3 linked regions of the Xenopus tropicalis genome follow. The protein of the gene in region 3 interacts with the protein of the main gene of each other region in a biochemical or structural test. Links are inferred from orthologs where the notes say so. Each region holds a gene or a part of one and is shown on either strand. Other genes may lie near its edges.

Region 1 (3,752 bases), on a different chromosome or scaffold from region 3:
GGTTCTCAAGCAACATATCTAAGAGTAGATCAACCAAATTTCAGTCTATTAAAAAAAAAAGTGTAATTTATTAATTTTTTACTTGTTTGCTCTCTTTCTGTAGTAACAATAAAACAGTATCTTGTGCTTTATGATAACTAAGCTAACATAAATCCATGTTTCTGGCTAAAAGATCATCTTGGTTTTTATTTTTAAATGCTTCAGCAGGCCATAAACGGGCCAATAAAAGCTGCTAGGTCAGTGCCTCCAGGCCAAATTAACAGCTTATTGGCTCGTGTATAGGGCCCGTCTGACCAATAGCTGATCAATTTTCAATACGGCAAGTTTGAAAATCCTATTGAATGAGGGTGCATTGGCACTCTGAATGTGGCTATCATGCAAGAGGCCCCAATAAAAGATTTGAATTATGTCCAAAAGCTTTCAGAATAATAGATCTCATACTTATAGAACTGCATGATGGGTAAGCAAGCTCAGCTGTCATCAGATTAATGATAAGTAAATAAAAAATAAGGTCTGTTTTCAGTTCCAGGGAGGCTGGATAATGAGATGCACCAATTCCAGAGTTTTATGATTCAAACCTTTGTAAAAGATTTGGCCTAATACCGAACCAAACTCTAATTTGCATTTGAAAACTAACCTATAAAAGGAATAAAAATGTTCAACTTCTGGGTTTACATAAAGAAATAGTGATTTTAAGGATTCAGATTTGGTTCAACCAGGCACATGGATTCGTCTGAATCCGAATCCTGTTGAAAAAGGCAGAATCTTGGCCAAACGCCGAAACAAATCCTGGATTCAGTGTATCCCTAATAATATGTATATTATACATATATTGAAAGTGGTGGTTCACCTTTGAGTTAACTTTTAGTATGTTATAGAAAGGCCAATTCTAAGCAACTTTTCAATTAGTCATTATGTTTTTCATAGTTTTTGAATTATTTACTCTTTGCAGCTTTCAAAGGGGGGTCACTGACCCCCAAGCCAAAGAACTATTGTTCTGCGAAGCTATAGTTTAACTGTTATTGTACATTACTTATGTTTCTATTCAGGCCCTCTCGTATTTATATATCAGTCTTTTATTCAAATCACACCATGGTGGCTTAGGTAATTTGGATCCAAGCAACCAAATAGCTGCTGAAACTCCAAGCTGGAGACAACCAAAAACTGAAATAATTAAAAAAAACTACAAATAAAAAATGAAAACCAGTTGCAAATTGTTTCAGAATATTACGCTCTACATCATACTAAAAATTAAGTAAAAGGTGGACAACCCCTTTAAAGGGGTTGTGCACCTTTGACTTAACTTTTTAGTATGATTTTTTTTTGGCTCAGGGGTCAGTGACCCCATTTGAAAGCTGCAAAGAGTTAGGACAAGGAGGCAAATAAATTAAGAAACTATGAAAAACAAATAATGAAGAATATTCGAAAAGTTGATTAGAATAGGTCTTTATATAAGATACTAAAAGTTAACTTAAAGGTGAACCACCCCTGTAAAACACAATTACATTGTTCTAGCCATTTAACATCTCATTATAAACCCCTATTAAATTTCTTGATCTGTGCAAATGTCTAGGAATAAGTAGTCCCTTGAAACTAATATTATATATATATATATATATATATATATATATATATATATATATATATACACACACACTATAGAAGGCACATCTTAACAAAACTGCCCAAAACTAAGTATAGAGACCCCTTTAATCCTTAAAAGAATGAGGCTTCATACATGTAGCTAGTATGGCATACTAAAATGTAAAAGAGTGGAACGCCTATGTTTGATTAATCTTCTGAAAATCTTTATGAAATAGGCACAGGATGAATACATATAAACCCAGGGTATCTCCACAAACACAAAGTGCCAAATCAGAAGTTAGATGAAGAGTTTAGAGCGTTTTCCTGTTACACAAAGGCCTTTATTGCTTTCTAACACCGTGCATCCTGTGGCTGGGGCCTAGCAGCTGTTGTTGGACTACAACTCGCAGAAAACAGGATTAAAGATTTAGTAGTGCCACACTCTTTCAGTAAGTTTTAGTTTTGGGGTAGCTTTGAGGGCTGGTTGAGTTTCATGTGAAACATTAGTTTCGGGCAAGTTACGGCTATGGCTGTAGGAGTCACATAAACAAAGGAAAGCTTGTTGTGCAGAAAGGCCCAGCGATGTACGCAATACCCACCCACGCCTCTATTACTTACTGCCTCTTTAAATACCCCCCAGCGTGGCTTTCCCTCCCCAAGGCCCCTATGATCACGAACTCCACCATTTCACACACACCTAACCCTCACCTTGAAGTACCCCCCCTCATAGAGGGTGTTTGGGGGGCCAAAGATTGCCACCTCCCAGTTGTACAGATCCCCCTCATCTACCAGGGTGACCCGGAACCCCTCCACCGGCTCTTCCTGTAGCCCCTTGAGTTCCAGCATCAAGGCCTTCTGAGAGCTGGGCACCGGCGCCACCGGCCGGGCCATGGTAGTTCCGCTCCCCGCTTTCTAACCAGGAGCCCACAGCGTCCTCCGCGTAGGGCAGGATGGGATCAGTAGGCTTTTGGTGTTTTAGCAAGAAGGGGCTGCTAGACGACTAAAGGCTTTATTACGACATGTTACGGCACAACGGAGCCGCTTTGCGAATTAACTTGCTGGCTGGAAGAGTAACGGGTGCCGGAAACTGCAAGTGAAGCCACGGCGTTGTGGGAGGAGCAGCCTACAAATCCCACAAGCCCACGAACACTGTGACGCACTGGTGCGAGGGAAGTGTAATCTGAGCGGAGGAAGGAGGGGTCTTGCTGAGGCTGATGGGAACAAAGCTAGATGTTGGTTTCTAGTGGGGAAACGTGATTTACAGAGCTTTTATTTAGTAGTGCAGTAGAAAACTTCAACTTGACACAAAGTTTCTGAATGAACAGTGAATATATCCTTTAATCTCCTAGAATATAACCTTCTAATACAGCTCACCTTAAAGGGCACCTATCACCCTCAAATTGTTTCCCTCATCAGAGGTTAGGGAAACAATAGCTTTTTGTGAAAAAAAAAAAAGCTCCTACCATTGCTAGGCTGCCTGCAGCAGAAGAGTGCTCCAGGTGTGGGCAGCCATATTGCCTCATTTCTCACAATGTGCATAATGAGTGAGTGCCACAAGTTGCTTATTATGTGCATGCTTGTGATGGAGGGTGAATTGCATCCACCACGCCTAGATCAGGCGCATGCGCATCATCTGCAAGTGGAAAGGCGCATTTATTATGCCCACGCATGGCAAACAACATGGTTGCCTGTACTGGGAGCTTCATTCAGGTGCGGGCAGCCTAGAAATGGCAGTTGCTGTATTTTTTAAAAACCAAACTATCGTTTTCCCTCAACCAAAGTGCTGCGTCTATTAGCCTGCACCTCTGGTGGGAGAAGCAGTTAAAGGGTCATAGGTGCACTTTAAAGGACAGGGAAACTTAGATTCAGTGGGTGGCAATTTATTGGGTGCCCCCAACACTTTCCATCAGGCCGGTGCTACACTTTGTAAAATGCCACTTCACTACTACTAGTTAAAGACTAGTTGCTTCCTACTCCATGTACGGTGTTGTAAACAGTAGCATAAGTAGAAGTTACTAGGCCCTGAAAAATCATTTTGGCACACCTTGAAATTAGAAATAATATCTTTCATATACATATAATGAAACTACTTATTATTCAGCAGGCTCCCAACAGTCACAGGGTGTGCTTGCTTTAAAGTTACATTCCTTGTTAAAGGAGATCTAAAC
Region 2 (3,752 bases), on a different chromosome or scaffold from region 3:
GTCCCCTTTACTTGGAACCAGAGGCATGTAGGGGTTGGGGGCGGGTCCCCGGTTAGGGGCGGGGGTGCAGGTAAGGTTTGGGGGTCAGGAACCCAGAGTCCTTATCTCATATCACACAATGTTAACGACCGAGCGTCTGAGGGGGCGGGGTCTGACCATTTAGTTCTGTAGGTAGTGAGGCAGGTTAAGGGTTAAGCTTGACAGTCGGACTGTTTTTTTTTTATTTGTAAATAAGAGCAAATGATACAACACATTCAGGGGCCACATTTAGCCGTGTCTGGGGGCCACAAGTGCAGGGGGCTCCCTATGCCCAGAACCCCAGTTTGACTTAACCCCGTCACTTCTGTGCCCGGGATGCAATAGCCCCGCCTAGCCCAGTGTAAAGAGCTGCCTCCGTGCCCAATTCGGGCGTGTCACACGTGCAGCGTGTATTATCTACAGTGAGAAGCAGCCCCCGGAGTTGGCGAGGGCCACACAGTCTCCCCGGAGCTTGGCGGGGGCCACACAGTCAGTACAGAAACCAGCCAAACCCAACATGGCGGCGCGCAGAGCGGCGCGTTCCCTTTTATTTGCCCTCCGTCAACTTGGCACCTTTGTGTCATCCGGCAACTCCTGCAACTCCCGCAGACCCTGAAACGCAACATTCATAGAGAGTTCAGTTCTACCCCATACTGGGTATAGGGACCTTAGATTGTAAGCTCACTGGGGCAGGGACTGATGGGAATGTGATAGGGACCTTAGGTTGTAAGCTCACTGGGGCAGGGGCTGATGGGAATGGGATAGGGACCTTAGATTGTAAGCTCACTGGGGCAGGGACTGATGGGAATGGGATAGGGACCTTAGATTGTAAGCTCACTGGGGCAGGGACTGATGGGAATGGGATAGGGACCTTAGATTGTAAGCTCACTGGGGCAGGGACTGATGGGAATGTGATAGGGACCTTAGATTGTAAGCTCACTGGGGCAGGGACTGATGGGAATGGGATAGGGACCTTAGATTGTAAGCTCACTGGGGCAGGGACTGATGGGAATGGGATAGGGACCTTAGATTGTAAGCTCACTGGGGCAGGGACTGATGGGAATGGGATAGGGACCTTAGATTGTAAGCTCACTGGGGCAGGGACTGATGGGAATGGGATAGGGACCTTAGATTGTAAGCTCACTGGGCAGGGACTGATGGGAATGGGATAGGGACCTTAGATTGTAAGCTCACTGGGGCAGGGGCTGATGGGAATGGGATAGGGACCTTAGATTGTAAGCTCACTGGGGCAGGGGCTGATGGGAATGGGATAGGGACCTTAGATTGTAAGCTCACTGGGGCAGGGGCTGATGGGAATGGGATAGGGACCTTAGAGTGTAAGCTCACTGGGGCAGGGGCTGATGGGAATGGGATAGGGACCTTAGAGTGTAAGCTCACTGGGGCAGGGACTGATGGGAATGGGATAGGGACCTTAGATTGTAAGCTCACTGGGGCAGGGGCTGATGGGAATGGGATAGGGACCTTAGAGTGTAAGCTCACTGGGGCAGGGGCTGATGGGAATGGGATAGGGACCTTAGATTGTAAGCTCACTGGGGCTGGGACTGATGGGAATGGGATAGGGACCTTAGATTGTAAGCTCCACTGGGGCAGGGGCTGATGGGAATGGGATAGGGACCTTAGAGTGTAAGCTCACTGGGGCAGGGACTGATGGGAATGGGATAGGGACCTTAGATTGTAAGCTCACTGGGGCAGGGGCTGATGGGAATGGGATAGGGACCTTAGAGTGTAAGCTCACTGGGGCAGGGGCTGATGGGAATGGGATAGGGACCTTAGATTGTAAGCTCACTGGGGCTGGGACTGATGGGAATGGGATAGGGACCTTAGATTGTAAGCTCCACTGGGGCAGGGACTGATGGGAATGTGATAGGGACCTTAGATTGTAAGCTCACTGGGGCAGGGGCTGATGGGAATGGGATAGGGACCTTAGATTGTAAGCTCACTGGGGCAGGGGCTGATGGGAATGTGATAGGGACCTTAGATTGTAAGCTCACTGGGGCAGGGGCTGAGATAAGAGATAATATACTCCCCCCACCATACACTCCGCCCCCTGCGCCGGACTCACCTCCAGTACCAGTCGGATATGGGCTTTGATGCTCGCGGCGTCCCTAGACAAACTGTCGCTTACCCTGAAAGAGAGGGGCGGAGAGATTACAGGTGGGCGGCGCCCCTGTGTCGGGCAGTTTGTGCATTAGGGGTAACCAGCAGTGACAGACTAGTGAGCAGTAACTACCCCCTTGCAGCGGACAGTAGACTGGGGAGGGGGTAATACTAAGCGCCCAGGGGTGTATATACTGACATCACACGCACCCCCCCCCCTTGCTTGTAGCTCCTCCCAACATCCAGCCAATAGCAAAGGAATCCCACTCCAAATTAGCATATTAAATGAGCGCATCACCTCAGTGGCAGAAAGTGAGTCTGAAGGAGAAGAATGAAAATCAGCAATGTGTGTGGGCGGGGCCTCTGTGCCAGGGGGAGGGGCCTCTGTGCCAGGGGGAGGGGCATCCTTACTCAGTCAGCATTTTGTTTTTCTTCTCAATGAACTTCAGCGCCTCCGGCAGCGTCAGATCCAAGTAGAACCCAAAGCCCAAAGCCACGAAGATCCTGGAACAGTCGGGCCTGGGGGGGGAGAGAGCGATAAAGAAGCAGCAACAAAGTAGCACATGGGGGGAGGGGTTAGGAGGAGCCCTCATAGGGCATTGGAATACAGGGCGCCCGGTTATACCGTTACACAGGGCGCCCGGTTATACCCCCGTTACACAGGGCGCCCGGTTATACCCCCGTTACACAGGGCGCCCGGTTATACCCCCGTTACACAGGGCGCCCGGTTATACCCCCGTTACACAGGGCGCCCGGTTATACCCCCGTTACACAGGGCGCCCGGTTATACCCCCGTTACACAGGGTGCCCGGTTATACCCCCGTTACACAGGGTGCCCGGTTATACCCCCGTTACACAGGGTGCCCGGTTATACCGTTACACAGGGTGCCCGGTTATACCCCCGTTATACAGGGTGCCCGGTTATACCCCCGTTACACAGGGCGCCCGGTTATACCCCCGTTACACAGGGTGCCCGGTTATACCCCCGTTACACAGGGCGCCCGGTTATACCCCCGTTACACAGGGCGCCCGGTTATACCCCCGTTACACAGGGCGCCCGGTTATACCCCCGTTACACAGGGCGCCCGGTTATACCCCCGTTACACAGGGCGCCCGGTTATACCCCCGTTACACAGGGCGCCCGGTTATACCCCCGTTACACAGGGCGCCCGGTTATACCGTTACACAGGGCGCCCGGTTATACCCCCGTTACACAGGGCGCCCGGTTATACCCCCGTTACACAGGGCGCCCGGTTATACCCCCGTTACACAGGGCGCCCGGTTATACCCCCGTTACACAGGGTGCCCAGTTATACCCAGTTACACAGGGTGCCCGGTTATACCCAGTTACACAGGGTGCCCGGTTATACCCCGTTATACAGGGTGCCCAGTTATACCCAGTTACACAGGGTGCCCGGTTATACCCAGTTACACAGGGTGCCCGGTTATACCCCCATTACACAGGGTGCCCGGTTATACCCCCGTTACACAGGGTGCCCGGTTATACCCCCGTTACACAGGGTGCCCGGTTATACCCCCGTTATACAGGGTGCCCGGTTATACCCAGTTAAACAAGGTGCCCGGTTATACTCCCGTTACACAGAGTCCCCGGTTAT
Region 3 (3,213 bases):
TAGCAGTCACTGAGGGGTTCTGTGCCCATATAAAGGCACAACACCAAAGGCCGAGTGCTTTTATACAGATCATGGAACGGAATATAAGGTGACTATTTTACAACAGGGGGTACCTTATTTATTATAACACATCATGTGATACAGATGACATCACTGAGCACCAATTATAACTGATGACATCACAGAGCACCATTTAAAAGGATATCGTTTACAGAAAACGCATGGCTCTTGTGTTTAGACATAAACTTCTGATCCCGGCTCTTCATCCGTTAACCCTTTCCTGACAATTTTTTTGGCCCCCGCACCCCCTTTACCGGCGGAATCTGCCCCGTACCTGTCTCGGGGTAGGAAATGTAGGAATTGGTCGACAGCTGAAGTTTCCGCACACTTTTCATCTCGCTGTTAATCTTCAGGGTGGCTGCACGTGCAAAAGAGGAGAAATGAGGATGGCGGCAGCCATATTGCAACAAGATGTGAGCCTATGCTGTCGGCCAGGGGTCCTCAAACTGTGGCCCACGGGCCGGTTCCAGCCCCCTGGGGTAGGTGGTGGTCTGGCCCCCCCATTGCTTAAGAAGTTTGAGGACCCCTGCTGTAGGCAATGAATACAAACAGGAAGAGCAACTGTCACCCTAGAATTCAGAGTTTATAGGTGCTATGGGTGACCTGGTGTCACATGGTTCCTATAAACAGAATGGGGGGGGGGAATATACCAGAGCAATGAGAAGGAGCTTTAATACAAGGCTGCAATGCAATGCATGTACACTAGGTGGGGCACTAACTCTTTAACATGCTCCTGTGCCACACACACAGCAGGGGGCAGTACAGACAGCAGATGAAGGCAGGGGGCTGGCAGACTGGGAGGAAGAGGAAGGATAAAGTACAAGTAATACTCACCATTGATTATGACCAGCTTGCCCATCGGCAAACAAGCCAAGGTGGCCGAGACTTCAGCGCACAGAGGGTGAGTGTAGTGCAGCCTGTAGGCCCCCCCGCTGCGCCAATCCTGCGGCATACACAGCACCTTGCTTTCAGCACCCTGGGGGGGGACAAGGAAGGGTTACCGACCCACCAATCACAGATCCCTGGGATGGGGGGGGCCATATTGACTCCCTACCTTCTGTAAGTAGCCAGTCTCCAGCATCAGTAGGTGGATGGCGACTATGAACGCGTCGCTGGCGCCGGTGCAGCCGGCAGTTTGGTACAGAACCTCCAGGGAGTGGGGGATTTTCCCATCTAGTGCCTCGCTGCAGAGCATCACCTCCCAGGCCGGGCCCGACATCCCATCCTCCATGGCCACGTCCTCCGCTGAGGGAGGGGCTTGCTGGGCAGCCTGGCAGCAAAACCAATGGGCATTAGATAAGCCTGTCCGTCTCTAGCCCCATGGCTACTGCCCCATGGCTACTGCCCCATGGCTACTGCCCCATGGCTACGGCCCCATGTCTCCTGCCCCATGTCTCCGGCCCCACGTCTCCTGCCCCACGTCTCCAGCCCCACGTCTCCAGCCCCACGTCTCCTGCCCCACGTCTCCTGCCCCACGTCTCCTGCCCCACGTCTCCTGCCCCACGTCTCCTGCCCCACGTCTCCTGCCCCACGTCTCCTGCCCCACGTCTCCTGCCCCACGTCTCCAGCCCCACGTCTCCAGCCCCACGTCTCCTGCCCCACGTCTCCTGCCCACGTCTCCTGCCCCACGTCTCCTGCCCCACGTCTCCGGCCCCACGTCTCCTGCCCCACGTCTCCTGCCCCACGTCTCCAGCCCCATGTCTCATGCCCCATGTCTCATGCCCCTTGTCTCCTGCCCCATGTCTCATGCCCCTTGTCTCCTGCCCCATGTCTCCGGCCCCATGTCTCATGCCCCTTGTCTCCTGCCCCATGTCTCCGGCCCCATGTCTCATGCCCCATGTCTCATGCCCCATGGCTACTGAGTAGAGAATTATTTCACCCATCCCTACTACTGAGTAAACCAGGAATACCAGTACTACCAGTAGTATCTCAGCACACATTACCTGAGCCATGGCTTGGGCTCCTGTGCTATCATCTGACTGGCTCTTGGGCCTCTTGTTAGTCGAGCTGCAGGGTTGGCTGGGATCCACCAGGGGGCAGCCAAGATCCCGCTTATCGGGGGCCGGAGCAGGAGCTGGCTGCGGCGGGGGCAGCTGAGAGTCCGGCAGTACCACAACAATCAGATCCCCGGAGATGATCCCCGCAGACTCCAGAGTGTTCTGATCCCCAGTCAGGGCATCTTTGCCATTCAGTGTGATGGTGAAATTTGCCTCAGTGCTGCAAAGGAAGGATATAATAATTAAAGGGTAAGTGTCCCTGCTGTATGTCTGTTCCCAGGGGGGCAGCGCATTACCTGTAGCCCAGAGCCGGCAGGGTGACGGAGGATAATTTACTGCGCAAGTCTCCCAGGGTCGGACTCTCCGCCTCCAGCTCTAAGCGATTGGTCTGCTTCCTCACTCTCACCCTCAGCTTCATTCTTATTGGCTGCGCGTCCCTGAGGGAAGAGAAAGGCTTCAGTAAAGGAACACGAGCGGCTTCTGATTGGCTATCGCTTCAGGCAACACATATTGTATTATTATCCTTTATTCATATAGCGCCGACATATTCTGCATCATTCCCATCAGTCCCTGCCCCAGTGAGCTTACAATCTAAGGTCCCTATCCCATTCCCATCAGTCCCTGCCCCAGTGAGCTTACAATCTAAGGTCCCTATCACATTCCCTTCAGTCCCTGCCCCAGTGAGCTTACAATCTAAGGTCCCTATCCCATTCCCATCAGTCCCTGCCCCAGTGAGCTTACAATCTAAGGTCCCTATCCCATTCCCATCAGCCCCTGCCCCAGTGAGCTTACAATCTAAGGTCCCTATCCCATTCCCATCAGTCCCTGCCCCAGTGAGCTTACAATCTAAGGTCCTTATCCCATTCCCATCAGTCCCTGCCCCAGTGAGCTTACAATCTAAGGTCCCTATCCCATTCCCATCAGCCCCTGCCCCAGTGAGCTTACAATCTAAGGTCCCTATCCCATTCCCATCAGTCCCTGCCCCAGTGAGCTTACAATCTAAGGTCCTTATCCCATTCCCATCAGCCCCTGCCCCAGTGAGCTTACAATCTAAGGTCCCTATCCCATTCCCATCAGCCCCTGCCCCAGTGAGCTTACAATCTAAGGTCCCTATCACATTCCCATCAGCCCCTGCCCCAGTGAGCTTACAATCTAA

What was found.
Region 1: the proteins of fbxo7 (region 3) and cdc34 form a complex in vitro, tested with the Homo sapiens proteins (2 studies listed by BioGRID, with this or other methods). The link is inferred for Xenopus tropicalis from reciprocal best matches to the Homo sapiens genes FBXO7 and CDC34.
Region 2: of the proteins of fbxo7 (region 3) and uxt, one has a biochemical effect on the other in vitro, tested with the Homo sapiens proteins (2 studies listed by BioGRID). The link is inferred for Xenopus tropicalis from reciprocal best matches to the Homo sapiens genes FBXO7 and UXT.

Annotation. Positions count from the first base shown.
Region 1 is NC_030677.2:105,629,733-105,633,484, reverse strand, and holds the start of cdc34 (ubiquitin-conjugating enzyme E2 R1), read right to left. Parts: upstream 2,633-3,752; 5' UTR 2,476-2,632; coding exon 2,293-2,475; intron 1-2,292. UniProt on the Homo sapiens protein: E2 ubiquitin-conjugating enzyme that accepts ubiquitin from an E1 ubiquitin-activating protein, and catalyzes its covalent attachment to other proteins by an E3 ubiquitin-protein ligase complex. In vitro catalyzes 'Lys-48'-linked polyubiquitination.
Region 2 is NC_030684.2:1,338,370-1,342,121, reverse strand, and holds the end of uxt (protein UXT), read right to left. Parts: intron 2,656-3,752; coding exon 2,548-2,655; intron 2,166-2,547; coding exon 2,102-2,165; intron 631-2,101; coding exon 580-630; 3' UTR 185-579; downstream 1-184. UniProt on the Homo sapiens protein: Involved in gene transcription regulation. Acts in concert with the corepressor URI1 to regulate androgen receptor AR-mediated transcription. Together with URI1, associates with chromatin to the NKX3-1 promoter region.
Region 3 is NC_030679.2:7,492,984-7,496,196, forward strand, and holds part of fbxo7 (F-box only protein 7), read right to left. Parts: intron 2,495-3,213; 5' UTR 2,476-2,494; coding exon 2,354-2,475; intron 2,278-2,353; coding exon 2,004-2,277; intron 1,331-2,003; coding exon 1,115-1,330; intron 1,037-1,114; coding exon 895-1,036; intron 419-894; coding exon 335-418; intron 1-334. UniProt on the Homo sapiens protein: Substrate recognition component of a SCF (SKP1-CUL1-F-box protein) E3 ubiquitin-protein ligase complex which mediates the ubiquitination and subsequent proteasomal degradation of target proteins and plays a role in several biological processes such as cell cycle, cell proliferation, or maintenance of chromosome stability.